Linked DNA regions of Stegostoma tigrinum. The protein of the gene in region 1 purifies or fractionates together with the protein of each later gene. This does not show direct contact. Links are inferred from orthologs where the notes say so. Each region holds a gene or a part of one and is shown on either strand. Other genes may lie near its edges.

The links.
Region 2: the proteins of eif3m (region 1) and eif3ba purify together in Homo sapiens (affinity purification with mass spectrometry; 8 studies listed by BioGRID and IntAct, counting the BioPlex papers as one, with this or other methods). This does not show direct contact. The link is inferred for Stegostoma tigrinum from reciprocal best matches to the Homo sapiens genes EIF3M and EIF3B.

The regions. Positions count from the first base shown.
Region 1 is NC_081370.1:43,420,090-43,427,267, forward strand, and holds the start of eif3m (eukaryotic translation initiation factor 3 subunit M), read left to right. Parts: upstream 1-4,006; 5' UTR 4,007-4,089; coding exon 4,090-4,131; intron 4,132-6,169; coding exon 6,170-6,302; intron 6,303-6,500; coding exon 6,501-6,639; intron 6,640-7,178. UniProt on the Homo sapiens protein: Component of the eukaryotic translation initiation factor 3 (eIF-3) complex, which is required for several steps in the initiation of protein synthesis.
Region 2 is NC_081376.1:1,082,572-1,090,834, reverse strand, and holds the start of eif3ba (eukaryotic translation initiation factor 3, subunit Ba), read left to right. Parts: upstream 1-5,066; 5' UTR 5,067-5,100; coding exon 5,101-5,221; intron 5,222-8,263. Other genes in the region: brat1 (BRCA1-associated ATM activator 1), read right to left, coding at 1,499-1,653, 2,640-2,766.

The DNA.
Region 1 (7,178 bases):
CATCCATGTTGACTCTGCACAATCCTGTCACTGTTTTTCAAGCGCACTGCTGTTAAAATCTTTTATAATGGACTCTAGAATTTTCCCTACAATTGATGTTAGGCTAACTGGTCTATAATTCTCTGTTTTCTTTCTACCTTCTTTCTCAAACAGTGGGATTATATTAGCTACACTACAATCCATGGGAAAATGTGAATAAAACAAGAAATTATGATTTAAAAATGTATAAAAACACTGATTCAGCTTCAACTGGCACATTCTGTCTAGGTTTGACCAGGCATGAAAGTTCTGCAATTGGGGCATTCAAAAAGGAAGCTTGTCCGGGTTTACTAGGAGAAGTTGGGAGAATCACACAAAGAGAAATGTTCATAGAGATACAATGGGCTGAAAGGCCTCCCTCTGTACCATAACAGCTCTGTAATTGTGCTCTATGCGTTCCAACACTACCTGACATTGATAATTACCATGCTAAGAATTTTTCAAGTTATCACCTGGCTTGATACTTTTCAAACTTTAGCCCTTTGGCAAATTAGCTATGTGAAGTTACAGGGACAGAGTGGGTCTGGCTATGATATAAGGCAATACTTAATAATAAATCCAACATTTAAAAGTTTCCTTAGCGAGAGAATGTTGAGAATGTATAACCCACTACTACATGGGTGGTATAATGGGTGTATAAAACAATTGCATTTAAGATAAAGTTGGATAATGGTATGGAATAGCAAGTTATGGGATTAGATGAAATAGGGTAAAAGCAGGATTCATCACAGACCTGTTAAGGTAATTGCCCTGCTTTTGATCAGTATATTCTATCTAATTTTATGTATAGGATTGAAAACAAAGAACTTGAATTTACATAAAACATTTCACAATCTCAAAATGTTCCCATATGCTTTACAGCCAGTGAGGAATCTGTGCTGGATCATCTGTTGTATTATTTGGCAATACAGCAGTGAATGTATACAAGAATGAATGAATAAATGAAGATTCTACATACAGCAATGTGATTAACTACCAGAATCTAAAGTAGGTTTTAATTTCAAGTATGGGACTTGATGAAATAGAGTGCATTACTCCCAATGCCAGTAGAGGCCATGGCTTCAGCTGCCTGGGACCCATATACTGTGATTTCCCTTTTACTTCTGCCTCCCCACATCCCTCCACTCCAAGATTTTCCTTAAAACTAAAGTCTGTAGTGCAGACTTTTGAGTGCTCCTTCCTTGTTGCTTGCCATCTATTTTGCTTTTATCTTTATGGATGAATTTGAAATTGTATGTACCTTGAAGATGTGCTATTATTATTATGAAGTAGAGCTGTTGCATTCCAAAAAAATTTGCAAACGCTGAGACTGCAACTAGGAAACTAAAACCAACCTCACTTTAGAGCTTCTCGGCCTTTCTGGTTCAGAATCGCTCCTCGACCTCACTTTAGAGCTTCTCGGCCTTTCTGGTTCAGAATCGCTTCTCGACCTCACTTTACAGCTTCTCGGCCTTTATGGTTCAGAATTGCTTCTCGACCTCACTTTAGAGCTTCTCGGCCTTTCTGGTTCAGAATCGCCTCTCGACCTCACTTTAGAGCTTCTCGGCCTTTCTGGTTCAGAATCGCTTCTCGACCTCACTTTAGTATGTTTCCTCAGTTCTCGGTAAAATTTTAAAATTGTATGTTTCATCATTAATTTGTTGAAGAATGCTAGAATGTCTCAGTGTTTATATCATATTAAATACACTTTTTGATTCTATTGGAAGCAGCCATTAAACAGTCCAAAGCACAAATCCAGCCAGAAAATTGCATGGATTATACCTATGTAATGTTGGAAAAGAGAAATGTTGTCAAAGCTTTTTGTTGCATTTATTAGGAGACAATTACAAGAATACCAGAACAATGATTTATACTAGGTGAAAAGAGGGGGACTATTGGTCTGGAAAGTTGGCTGCAATTGGTTGAGGTGCTGTAATGGAGAATCAGGAACAGGTTACTGCCAAGCTTTTGTTTAAATTCAAACCAGGCAAGTTGACTCTGAATCGTCAAGACTTTGCCATGAGGAACGCACTAAGGAATGCTGACCGCAAAGGTTGAAAAGGGGACAATGCATGGGCATGTTCTATCTCTTCACAAATATCTGTAACTTCTAGCATGCATAAATATGCCATATTGCTAGTCTGACAGTTAATATTAATTTGGTTTTACAGTAACTCTGAGCACAGTCAGGATTGTTTAGCACGTGTTATCAAATCAGATATCATCTCTAAAATAGCAGACAATGTCCTGAGTTTTACAAGCACAGGCTAATTGAGTATAGTCAGTACTCTGTCTATCGGGAACAGCCAAAAGAATATCCTTTTGATAGGATCTGCCAGAGCTGGGATGTATAACCTACATCCTTTGCATCGTGTCAGCACTGAAACTCACTGATAACATTACATATTTGTGCAGCAGACACTAAGAGGGTGCCAATTGTGACATTCTGCTAACCAGATACGTAATCAGTGTGGCCACCGGATTCTGATGCTACTGCCTTGGATTCCAATCCATCCAAACAAGTGCCTGCTGAACAATAAAATATCCAAGAGAAATCCAGAAGTTCAAGCCTGATGCAGGACTTCGTGAAGTCCCTACAGTGTGAAACCATTGAGTCAACCCCGATCCTCTGAAGAGCATCCCATCCAGACCCACCCCATCACTGTCAGCCTGCAGTTCCCATGGCTAATCCACTGGTCTGCACGTCACTGCACAATACGGGCAATTTAGTATGGCCGATACACCTAGCCTGCAGGAGGAGAATGTGAAAGCTCCACACAGTTGCCGGAAGGTGGGATCAAATCCAGGTCCCTGGTGCTGTGACGCAACAGTGCCACCTTAACCTGAGGCCAAATTCCCAAGGATGGCCATTCTGCTATGAATTAGCAGCCTAGTTTGTGTGGGTGCATCTGTGTGTGATGTAGTCTCTAGAGTGAGATATAAACTCAAACCTTCTGCCTTAGAAGTATTTCCTGAGCTGTTACTGACACCAAATAAGAAAGACAGAAATGACACTGTGTGCAACAATGCACTGTGGAACAAAGAAAATTACAGCACAGGAACAGGCCCTTCGGCCCTCCAAGCCTGCGCCAATCAAGATCCCCTGTCTAACCTGTCATCTATTTTCTAATGGTCTGTGTCTATTTGCTCCCTGCTCATCCATGTACCTGTCCAAATATAATCTTAAAAGACGCTCATGTATCTGCATCTACCACCTCCGCTGGCAACGCGTTCCAGGCACCCAACACCCTCTGTGTAAATAACTTTCCACGCGTATCTCCCTTAAACTTTCCTCCTCTCACTTTGAACTCATGACCCCTAGTAATTGAGTCCCCCACTCTGGGAAAAAGCTTTTTGCTATGCACCCTGTCTATACCCCTCATGATTTTGCAGACCTCATTCAGGTCCCCCCTCAATCTCCGTCTTTCTAATGAAAATAATCCTAATCTACTCAACCTCTCTTCATAGCTCGCACCCTCCATACCAGGCAACATCCTGGTGAACCTCCTCTGCACCCTCTCCAAAGCATCCACATCCTTTTGGTAATGTGGCGACCAGGACTGTACACAGTACTCCAAATGTGGTCGAACTAAAGTCCTATACAACTGCAACATGACCTGCTAATTCTTGTACTCTAGAGGAACACAGCAGGTCAGACAGTATCAGAGCAGCAAGGAAGTTTCAGGTCGGAACCCTTCTTCATGTGCGTGGCTGGGGTACACATCAGATTTCTCCAACAATTACTGTTTTTTTTGTTTCAGATTTCGTGTATCAGCAGTTCTTTGCTTCACTTTAGATTAAAATAATTCACTTTCTCGAGCAAGTAGCATGATCTACGTCTTTCCGAAATACATTTTCCTTGTATTTTTTTACAACAGAATTTCCTGTCGCATATCTCCCCCGCACCCCCATTTGTTACACTGTCACTTGCTCTGTAACAAAGGATACAAGGGAGACTGCCCCCCTTTGAAGGTAAGTGATGGCTCCTTTAAGAGGCGGCGGGCGAGAAGTGACGCGATCACGCCGGAAGTGGCCAAGTTGGGAGGTGGAGAGACAGTTGGAGTGGAAGCCATGAGCGTACCGGCTTTCATCGACATTACTGAGGAGGACCAGGTCAGCGGGTGGTCTGGGGTGATATCCGAGTGAGCAGTGTCTAGGCGGCCGGCTGATCGATCCCGTTTCGTGCGGCGAGCGGCTGTGTCCCATCGCTGTCCGTCCAGACTTCCTTGTCCTAGAGCCTCGTGGGCCGGAGACACGGGGAGAGGGCCAAACGAGGAAGTCTGAGGCCGCTTAAAGTGACTTCGATGCGAAAGAGCCAGCACGTCTTGGAAATTGAACTTTGTTGTATTCTGCATAAGGAGATGTGCATCTTTCTAGCGCCTGTCACAACCTCCAGGCGTCCCAAAGAGCTTCAGAACAATTAGCGATTTTATAACGGGAGGGGCGGTATTCAAACCAGGACTAATGGTAACTGCAGACGCTGGAGAATCCGAGATAACAAAGTGTGGAGCTGGATGTACACAGCAGGCCAAGCAGCATCTCAGGAGCACAAAGTCCGAAATGTTAGCTTTTGTGCTCCTAAGATGCTGCTTGGCCTGCGGTATTCAAACCAGGGCTGGAGTTTTTTGATCAGTAAGCGAATCAAGGGTTATGGGGATAAGGCGGGAGTTGAGTTGATTAGGTTAGCTGATGTTTCGTTCGGGCAGACTCGATGGATGGACTGAATGTGCTACTTCTGCCCATTCTGTCATATGGCCACTGTTGTGGTATAACATAAAAACCGAAAGCGCATGCCATAAATAATTGGGTTCTCAGGAAGGATCACCAGATCCGAAACGTTAACTCTTGAGTTTTTAATCCACAGATGCTACCGGACTTGTTGACCTTTTCCAGCAACCTCTGTTTTTGTTGTTATTGCACAACAGTCGTTCAAAATTGTTTTCTGTGCTTTTGTGCCTGTTGACATAAGGGGCAGTTTGGCCTAACAAACTGAAGACTTCTATGTTTCACCAGGATACAAATTCTAAACCTATGTGTTTGCTCTGTTTCCATATGCCCAATGGTATTAATGTGGACTTCACAAACTTCAAAATCTCCCCCTCCCCCACTGCATCCCAAAACCAGCCCAGCTCATCCCCTCCTCCCTAACCTGTTCTTCCCCTCATCTCTCCCCTCCTCCCACCTCAATCCGCTCCTCCATTTCCCACCTACCAACCTCATCCCGCCTCCTTGACCTGTCAGTCCTCCCCAGACTGACCTATCTCCTCCCTACCTCCCCACCTACACTGTCCTCTCCACCTATCTTCTCCTCTATCCATCTTCGGTCTGCCTCCCCCTCTATCCCTATTTATTTCAGAACCCTCTCCCCATCCCCCTCTCTGATGAAGGGTCTAGGCCCGAAACATCAGCTTTTGTGCTCCTGAGATGCTGCTTGGCCTGCTGTGTTCATCCAGCTCCACACTTTGTTATCTTGGATTCTCCAGCATCTGCAGTTTCCATTATCTCTGATCGTTCAAAATATAGTTAGCCAGTTCACCAGAAACAAGTAAGAAGCCAATTACAGTGGTTTCTTGAGTGACTGGAAGAGCAATTTTATTACTTATAGTCCTGACAAAAACACAGACGCAACATCAATTGCGCACACAAACATTTACATGAAATAAAAAAAAATTGATAGTATCCAGTGTGAAATGAAGATGAAAGATTATCCAGTTTAAAGTTTTTAGTGTCCTTGTGGAGGTGTGTTGTAATTTGAGACCATGGTTGGTTAGGGCTGTGGATCATCTGCAGCAATGAGTACTGCAGTATCTTTGTGGCCTTGGTATTCCAATGTCTCTTCACTTTGCAATATCGTGATGTTTTGCCCTTTGCGAGGGAGAAGGACTCCAACTCTGTGCCTTTTTTTTGAAAGGAATGCTCCCTGAGAGACCATTGATTTGTATATTTCGGTCTCTAATTAACTTAATGACATATGAATTGCTGATGCTGAAGTTAGTTCAGGTTTGTCATTACAGAACCAATTGGTTATAGATGCATCAGACACTCTCGAGCTGAATCTGTGTGAAAAGTTTCCTTACTTTCACAATGTAAAATATGAGGAGGTTGTGGGTTTCTGGAAAAAAAAATTCAAAGCCTACATAAATTTTCCTAGGCCTCTGAGCTTCGATCCTACCTGAAGTCAAAAGGAGCTGAAATTTCAGAAGAAAACTCTGAAGGTGGGCTACACGTTGACTTGGCACACATCATTGAAGTCTGTGACGTATGTTTCAAGGAAGATGACAAAGGTTTGTCTGCTCACTAATCATCTGGCTCACTTTAAAGTTACTGCCAGTTCTGTTTAAGGACCTTGATTTTAACCAATGATTTGTGCAAAGGGCCTTGATGAAACATTTGAGACAGGCTGAAGTGTTATGCATGCCTGAGAGTTAGGTCCGTTGAACTTGTTGCTACCCTGTTTAATATTTTTTTGTTTCTTTATGCAGATGTGGAAAGTGTGATGAACAGCATTGTGTCACTTCTCCTAATTCTGGAGACTGAAAAGCAGGAAGCACTGACTGAAAACTTGTGTGAGAAGTTGCTGAAAGCTTGTGATGGTGAGCGATCGTCTCTCAGATTGCAGTTGTGAGTATGTAATTTAACTTGAGTTCATACCATCTGAGTCTCTTTCAATGTAAAAAGAAAATTACCAACTTGTTTATATTATGCAGTTTTCAAAAAAAGTCAAAATAGTTATGTTACTAACACAACAGTGTGTTGGAGGTACATTAATGTTCATAAAATGCCTTAATAGTAAGTAAGTCAATAATTCCAATAAAGCAGCTTCCTTCATAGCCAAATCACTTCATCTAACTTTCGAAGACCTTGGTCATCCTCTTGCCTGAGTTATTTCCCTCCATTTGTCATCCTTGAATAAGGAAGGTCTAAATATCTTCACTAAATTTGTTTTCTCTAATCCTGCGGATAGGAGTTATTATTAAATGTTGTAGGTAAATATCTTCAGAATGTTGTTTCCTCCATTCTTTTCTGTTAAATGAACCAGGCTACATCGTACAAATCTCCACTATTTAGTTGACCCCGGTTACAGTAGTGAAAAATCAAAAAAACCCATTATTAAAGTACATTTTTTTTGTGGGATGCGAGCTTCACTGGCTAGCCAGCAC
Region 2 (8,263 bases), on another chromosome or scaffold:
GGTCGAATGGCAGTGGGTCAATTAGTTGTGTTTAAATTGTCACGTTAAAAAGTAATCGGAGGCAATTTTAGTGGAGGGAAGTAAGAAACTTAAAAACATATAGGACTCAACCCTATCTTCAATCTACCAATCTCAGTGAAAACATTTCCAACATCCACGGGTAGGTACTGGCTCCGAAAAGGGCACGTAAGCCTATAGTGGGCTGGCACATATGGAGTGGAGCAGGAGCAAGACATAGGATGGACATGGTTTACAACACCCAGAATATATCCTGCTTGTCAAAATAAACTCTTCTGATGAAGTCACAAGACTCAAAACATTAACACTACTTTCTTCCCACAGATGCTGCCAGATCTGTCAGGGCGTGTGGAATATACTGCTAGCAGTGGTCGTGGAGTCAGATACTTTAGAGACTTTTAAGCAACTCTTGGATAGACACCTGGAGGATAGTAAAATGCGGAGTATGCAAGGTAGATTGATCTTAATAGGATAATAGGTTGGCACAACATCTTGTGCCAAAGGGCCTGTATTGTGCTATAGTGTTCTATTTTCTACATTTATGATCTGCTGAGTTTCTCCAGTAATTCCTGTTCTTGTTTTAAAACAAATGGTTACATGGATTTAGGACCTGCTCCAAGACAATAGAAACTCATGTGCTGGAAGTCCATTCGAAAGCAGAGCACGAGTATGGTGAGCTAGGCACGAGGCAGTCACTTCAGAGTGCTGGTGCTGCCCAGGCACAGAACCTGGGGGAATGAACAACATTTGCACTCTCCTCTGCTGGGTCCTCATCATGAAGAAGCATTTGTAAAAATAAACTTAAAAAGAGAGAAACAAAGTAGAGAATTTAAGGAGGTATAGCCAATGTTGGAGGTCCTGGCAGTTGATAGTTAAGTCATAGCTGATCTGAATTGGCAACATTGGTATAAGGATATCTCAAAGCGTTGCATGCTTACAGGAAGTAACAGACATAAGGAGGTATAGGTTTATGTTGGAATTTGAAACTAAGAATGAGAACTTTAGGAAGAATGATGTTGTCTAGCTGAAAGCCAATGCTGGTCAGTGATCACAGAGGTGATTGTGAACAGGACACAGCGCAAGTTAGGTTATAGAAAGCAGAGTTTTGGATGAGATCAAGGCTACATTGCTCTGAACAAATTATCCTGTGTAAAATGAATAGGCATGGCATTTCAAGATACCCGAAGAAAATAACAAAACCAGAAAATGCTGGAAATACATAGTGGGTGCAACAGCATATGAAAAAAGTGGGAGGAAGATTTAATTTTAACATGCACACCCTTTGCCAAATAGAAGTACATACTAGGTGTTGAACTCTTTCATCTTTGTTAGACATAGATATACTGGTCTATGTCCAGAATTTTCACTTTCAACTTGAATTTAATTTCAACTCTAATCGAGCAGTTATACTTGAATACCACAAACAATATTTTTTACGTCAAACAAAAACTTGAAAATAAACTATCTTCTAATTACTAACCTCTAACTGAATAAAATAGTTTTCTGATGCAGCAAATAGTCCAGTCAGCTTCATAATGAAGGAGAGGATGTTAGGGTGAATATCCTTCTGTTTGGATACATTTACAATTATGTTTGTCAGACACGGGATTCTCTGTAGAATATGGAGTTCTGTTTCTGAAGGGAACACAGAAAAGTAAAAGTGAATAAAGTTTTACACAAATTTACTATTCAATTTTAACACTGTAGTTTATAATGTTCCTTTATTTAACATAGGTGTCAGTATTTTCTCCTTCACCTGATGGTATTGTCTTCCTGCAAAGGTCAAGGACAATGATTGCTCACTGGTACAGTGTGAGGTCATATTCACTGTGTCAGCATACTGTTTAATCAGTGGGATAGCTTAGCCAAGATCAATTCTGTATCCAGTCAAATATCCAAAATTGAGCTTTTTAACAGGAATCATTGGTTAACAATCAGTAGTCAGAACTCTACCCAGTCTTCTTCCCTCTGAGGCCAGTTTTAGCGCTATTCTCATTGTGGACTTCTGATTAATCACAGACTGAGGATCACACTCAAGGCATAGTCTTATGTTTTGGTTTCTGTACCTTAAATGAGTTAGAACAATAGTGCAATTTGGAGGTGACAAATGTAATTACATCAACAATATTATAACGCATTAAATTCCCTGGATAACAAAAACTAGGGCAACCAGGCAAATGGATAGGAATGCCAGATGAAACTGAGTAATGCAGACCACATGAACAGAAATCCAAATTTGATGGTTAAAAGAAAGCAGCCAATGTTCAATCCAGACACATAGACATGTTATTTAGACATGAATGGGTCAACCAACTTTTCTGAAAAATAATCTATTTCACCTTAACTTACCATGTCAACCTAGGCACAATTTCTTCAAAATTTGAAGGCTTATTTGAAAATTTCATGGGACGGTTGATGTGGGAGATAAAAAACCTCATTGGTGGCAAAGTATTTTTGCAACAGAATTGATATAATAGCTTTAATATCACAAACTGTAACAAAGGCCAGTACTAGATTACATTAATGTGTAGAAAAAAAATAAATTATACAAATAAAACTCATTTCATACTTGATACTGGTTGTATTAATCATGACTTCAAATTAAGTGAGTATCCAGTTACCATTTTCTGTTGTTCCTCGGAAGCAATCAAGCAGCTTCTCCAAACAGGTATCATCAACAACCGTTTGCCCGGCATCTCCTAAAACTGAGAAAACACGGGGCAACAACTCCACACACTCACTTTCCATTTTCCAATTATATGATAAATTCTCTGATGGGAGGGAAAAAAAACAAAATACAAATCTTCATGCTCTTGTATATTATGCAAAATACCTTCTGAAGAACATTGCCAAAAGTTTTAAATTTGCTACAATTGGCAAGTAGTTCCTCACTATCTTAACACTACCAAAAGATACTTATATTCTCCAAGATGCTCCCATACAAAGCAATTCAACAAATACAACTTGATATTTCATCCCATCTTCAGAAGTATGACTTATCAACATTTTTTAAAGTAATTATGATTAATTGTTCATGTGTATTGTGCTGAATATCAAAATAATGGTTTTTTGGAACAGATGTGTTTAAGTCTGGTTTCTCCTTTTCGTTATAACAACTTGCATTCATTCATAAAATATTATGAATAAAAGTAATGCACACACTGAAAATCTGAAATGAAAACAAAAACAGCTTGAAATACTCAACTGTGTGGCACTGGAGAGTGAAACGGAATTAATATTTCACGTCAACGACTCAGTTCTGAATAATCATAGATCGGAAACACTGTCAACTCCACTTCATTTGCTAAAAAAGCGGCCAGCCTTGCTGAATAATTCCAGCTTTTTCTGTTTTTAGTAGTTTATATTTATACCTTGATAGGAAAGAATATATCAGAAGCAAACATATCTAGTGAACTCTGCTAAAATTTGAAAATGATCAACATTAATACTCTTAGCTTCAGAGTTACTTCTGCTTAGTAAGGGCAGATGTTGGATACACAGGAAAGGTTGTAGACTCTAGAGTTCTTTATTAAGACAGACTTAGGAAAAACAAAGACAATAAATCAGCAAAAAGGGCGATGGAGAGGTCAGTTCTCGATGAGGCAAAGCCAGGGAATTACATTTCAGAAGGGGTGTAGGTAAGACAGGAATACAAGTTGTCAATATTTTAGAGTAGGAACAATGTGTCTTGTGATAGGCCAGATGTAGCCCGAGGATCACCTTAACACTAAATTTAGCCCAGGCGCATGGACAAAATAAGGTAACTGTAACACTACTGTGGTTTGAGAATATCTTTGTTCCAAGCGTACAATTGTTACATTTTGTTGCAGAAGAACTTCGGTAAGTCAGATTCTAATAGATATGCATTTTTTATTTTAAGACCATACGACATGAGTGGAAGTATTTTGTAAAATACCAAACACGAACTGAAAATACTCATTACAAATGATACTTTCAATCTGATCCTATTACTTTGATTGCTGACGTCTGTCTTTCTAGAAGAATTCACTCGCACCTTTCATAGAACATAGAATAGTACAGCACAGGAACGGCCCTTCAGCCCGCAATGCTGTGCCGACCATGACGCCAAGGTAAACTAATCCCTTCTGCCTGCCCTTGGTCCTTATCCCTTAATTCCTTTCCTTTGACATTAAAGAAGTTAAGGAAAGGGGAAGGCAAAATGCCAGAAACACTCAAGGTCAGGCAGCATCTGTGGGGAGAAAAATAGAATTAACATTTCACGTCAATAATGTTTTAATAAGCAAGTTTAGGTATGTTTTCGGCCTGGCATCCTAACTATAAAACAGTCAGTAATAAATCTAGTAGAGAACTCAGAAGAAACTTCCTTTCCCTGAGGGCGGATAGAATAAGTGGTTAAAGAGAATGGCATAGGTATTGAAAGGTTAAGTAAATGAGATAAAACAAAAACACCGAGAGGGTAAAACAGTGAATGGAGGAAGCTGGCGTGCAGCACTTGTACCAACCAGTTAGGTCTAATGGGCCATTTGTGAGCCGCCCATTCTAGAGGCATCCATGTCAGTGAAATAAACTACAAGGTGAGGGAAGATTAAACTGGACACTGTCCTACAATCAAAACTGGGAAAAGCGGACTCTGGCTCCACTACAACAATCGCCTTAAAATGACCTGAGGTTTTAATGTAAACAGACACCTTGCGTGAACAATCAACCCAAAGGTAGAGAGCGCGGATACGAGCACAAACCAAACGAAGCCATCGCCATGCCCTCCAGCAGACGACCTGGACTGGATCACCATTCACAGTCAGGGGGGAGCATTAGGAATGTTCCACAACAAATCCTCAACAGTAGCGGTGATTCTCACACAAAATCAGCGAATTATAGTAATAGATTTTCAAAAATATACGTATGTAAACTACCTCCGTTTAACAACCGGTAATTTCCTCCAAATCCTATCTATATGTCAGCGCTTTCGCCCCTCTGATTGCTTTGGAACAGGCGAACCGGCGGGACCGCGCATGCCTTGCACCCCCCCTTCCCCCAGAGAGGCCCGGCCGCGCACTTCCGCGCTCGCTCTTTCTTTTCCGGCCGCCCAGCGAAAGCAGGATGAAGGAGACGAGTGGGGATGGTGAGGCTCGGGAGGCTGACGATGAGTTGGCAGAGCTGGAGGAGCCCGAGGAAGGCTTCAGCGACCCTGAAGGCTTCGAGGATGACATCTCCGATGAGGGTAAAGACAATGAGTGGGGTAGCTTTCGGTATTCGCACACATGGAGGGGAACCGGTTCATATCCCCAGCCCATGTGCGTTTGGGAGTGACTGGAGCCTGAGGCCTAGGCTGGGCCTGGACCCGGATGAGCAGGCAGGTTGACTGGGTCCTGGCTGATAGAGCTGGAACACACTGACTTGGGAATGACACACATTATTAATGATCATAAATTCAGTAGTGTCTAGTGTTGTGACAAAATATTTTTTTTCCAGAAAGATAGCCTGTACAGTGAAGGGAGGTGAATCATTAAGCGACAACTGCAGTTCTTCATTTAAACTAGGGAATCCGCTTTTTCACTTGAAAGTATTTTCACACACTTTGTTTAAAATAACTTAATTAGAAATCACTAGCCTCCGTTTGATCTGTACCATTAGAAGTGTATGTCGTAGTGACGCAAATTACAGTTAAATAAGGTGCAGTATCCGGTGTTAACATTGTATGAACTACAGAGTGGTGGATGTAACTGCAACTGCACAGTTCTTCAATTCAATATCACTTTAAATGTCTTGTACTCTTGTGTAACCTATATTGAGAAGGGTGCAATGCAATATGGGATCCTTATAAATTAGATGAATATGCAATGTCTTCCATGAGATAAAAGGAAAAACATGTTCACACCAGAACCAAATCATTCTGTAAACATTACAAATGTAATTTTAGCATGGTTATAAACTGATTGCTAGCTGATTAGAAAAATCTGTAATCAAAATATTTTAAATCTGTAGTTAATCTGATCCTCCAACAATAGCAAATATTCACATTTCATGTACTACAGGCACTTTATATAAAATCAATTAATAAGATTTTGACATAAAGGTGCAAAATTAGCTCAATTGGCACATTGAGTCTGTGGTTCCATTCAGTGAGATTGTAGCTGGTCTAATAACCCTCAAATCCCCTTTCCTGCCTTTTCCCCATAAACCCTTTATTCCTTTACTGATTGATTGAAAATTTGTTGATCTCAGTCTTGAATATACCTAGCACAACCCAGCTTCTGCAGCCCTCTATGGTAAAGAATTCCACAAATTCACTATCCTTAGAGAGAGGCAACTCTGCTCCAACTCTCACCTAACTGGGTGACCCTTTACTGTAAAATTATTCTCTTTGATCCTAGACTCTTAACACAAGGGGAAGCAACATCTCCACACCTTCCTGGAAGAATCTAAGTAAAAGTCACCTTTCATTCATTTGGACTCCTGTGAGTACAGGCCCAATCTACTCGACCTTACCACATAAGACAATTCCTCTGTATCCAGGATCAACCTAATTGACCACTCCTATTTTGCCTCCGGTGTCAGTTATACTTTTCATGAGATGGGGATATCAAAACTGATTGCAGTATTCTGTAAGGATTCTGTAGTTTTAGCAAGGTTTTCCTATTTCCTGCTGAACTTTCATATGTTAGTGTTTTAGAAACCATTCGGATGCCCTCACAGACTACCAGATACCTCTGTGCTGCAGCTTTCTGCTGTCTTTCTCCATGTAAACAATATTTAGCTGTTCTGCCTTGGCCAAGTGCATAACCTTACATTTTGCCACGTTATATTTAAATTGTCAAATATTTGCCCACTTGCTACATGTCTTTGCAGACTGCCAACCTCACCACTTGCCTTCCCACCAGTTTTCTTGTGTCATTGCAAACTTGGTGATAGTATACTCACTTGCATTGTCTAAATAATTGATATATCTTCTAAATAAATGTGGCCTGAGCACTGATCCCTGTGGCACACCACTGGTTGTGGATTGCCATCCTAAACGTGCCTCCTTGTCCCAAGTCGTCTATTGTGTAGACAAGCTTGTATCTGTGCTAATATACTACTTCCAATGCCGCACGTGCTCAGAACTCTCTTCCTAACTACATTGTGTGTCCAAATGGACTGCATTGCTTCAATAGGGCAGTGCACTATTACTTTTTCATGGTGGGCAATAAATCCTGGCCCCGCCAGCATTGCCCACATCCCATGAATGAATAATAAAAAAAGTAGTCTGACATACGTCGCTTATCCAACACCTTCTAGAAATCCAAATCTTTTACATCCTCTGGTTAAATGGTCTGACCAGAAACATTAACTGTAGTTGAATATTTACTTGTGGTATTCTCCAGATAGCAGATGCACATACTGTAGGACAGTGGAGAAGTGAAAATGAGAACAATTGTTGGATCACTAAACGGATCTGACAACAGCTCTGTTTAAAGAGAAGCTGAATTAATGTTTCAGATTGATTTTTTTTTCATTGCACATGATTGTGCCAGTCTTGGCTTAGTTTAATCTGACATTTTAAGCCCAAGATTCCGTGTTTAAGTTATACGCTGTGGCTGGAGCACAAAAACAGAAATGACACTCCTGTGCAGTACTCAAAGTGCTAATTGTCATTGGTGCCATCTTGTGGAAGAGACATTAAATGAACTTCCTATGAGTCTGCATGGGTAAATCCAGAAGTTCCCATAGCACTTCTCTGAAAAAGTGTTGGACTGTGCTTTCTAATGTCCTGATCAATATTTATCCATCAATGAGCATGCCAAAAAAATACAGATTTTCTGTCTGGTGTCTATTGTATTGATCTATGTGGAAGTTTGCTGTAGGCAAGTTAGCTGCTGTGTTCTGAAGTTAGATTATGACTACTCGTCCAAAGTATTTCATTGGTTGTGAAGTAGTCATCAAAATATATGCAAATGTATGTCCTTTATTTTCAATTTCCTGCACTCCTATTTTGTTATGCGAAATAAAATTTTCATGTGAGGGCACCAGTTATATTTTATTCAGAGATAGTGGGAACTGCCGATGCTTTAGAATCTGGGATAACAAGGTGTAGAGCCGGATGAACACAGCAGGCCGAGTAGGAGAGCTGACGTTTTGGCTCTGGACCCTTTTTCAGAAATGGGGGAGGGTAAGGGGATTCTGAAATAAAGGGGTTGGGTGGATGGAAGATGGATAAAGGAATAGATAGGTGGAGAGGAGACAGACAGGTCAAAGTGGCGGGGATGTCACCTTTACTGGCTCC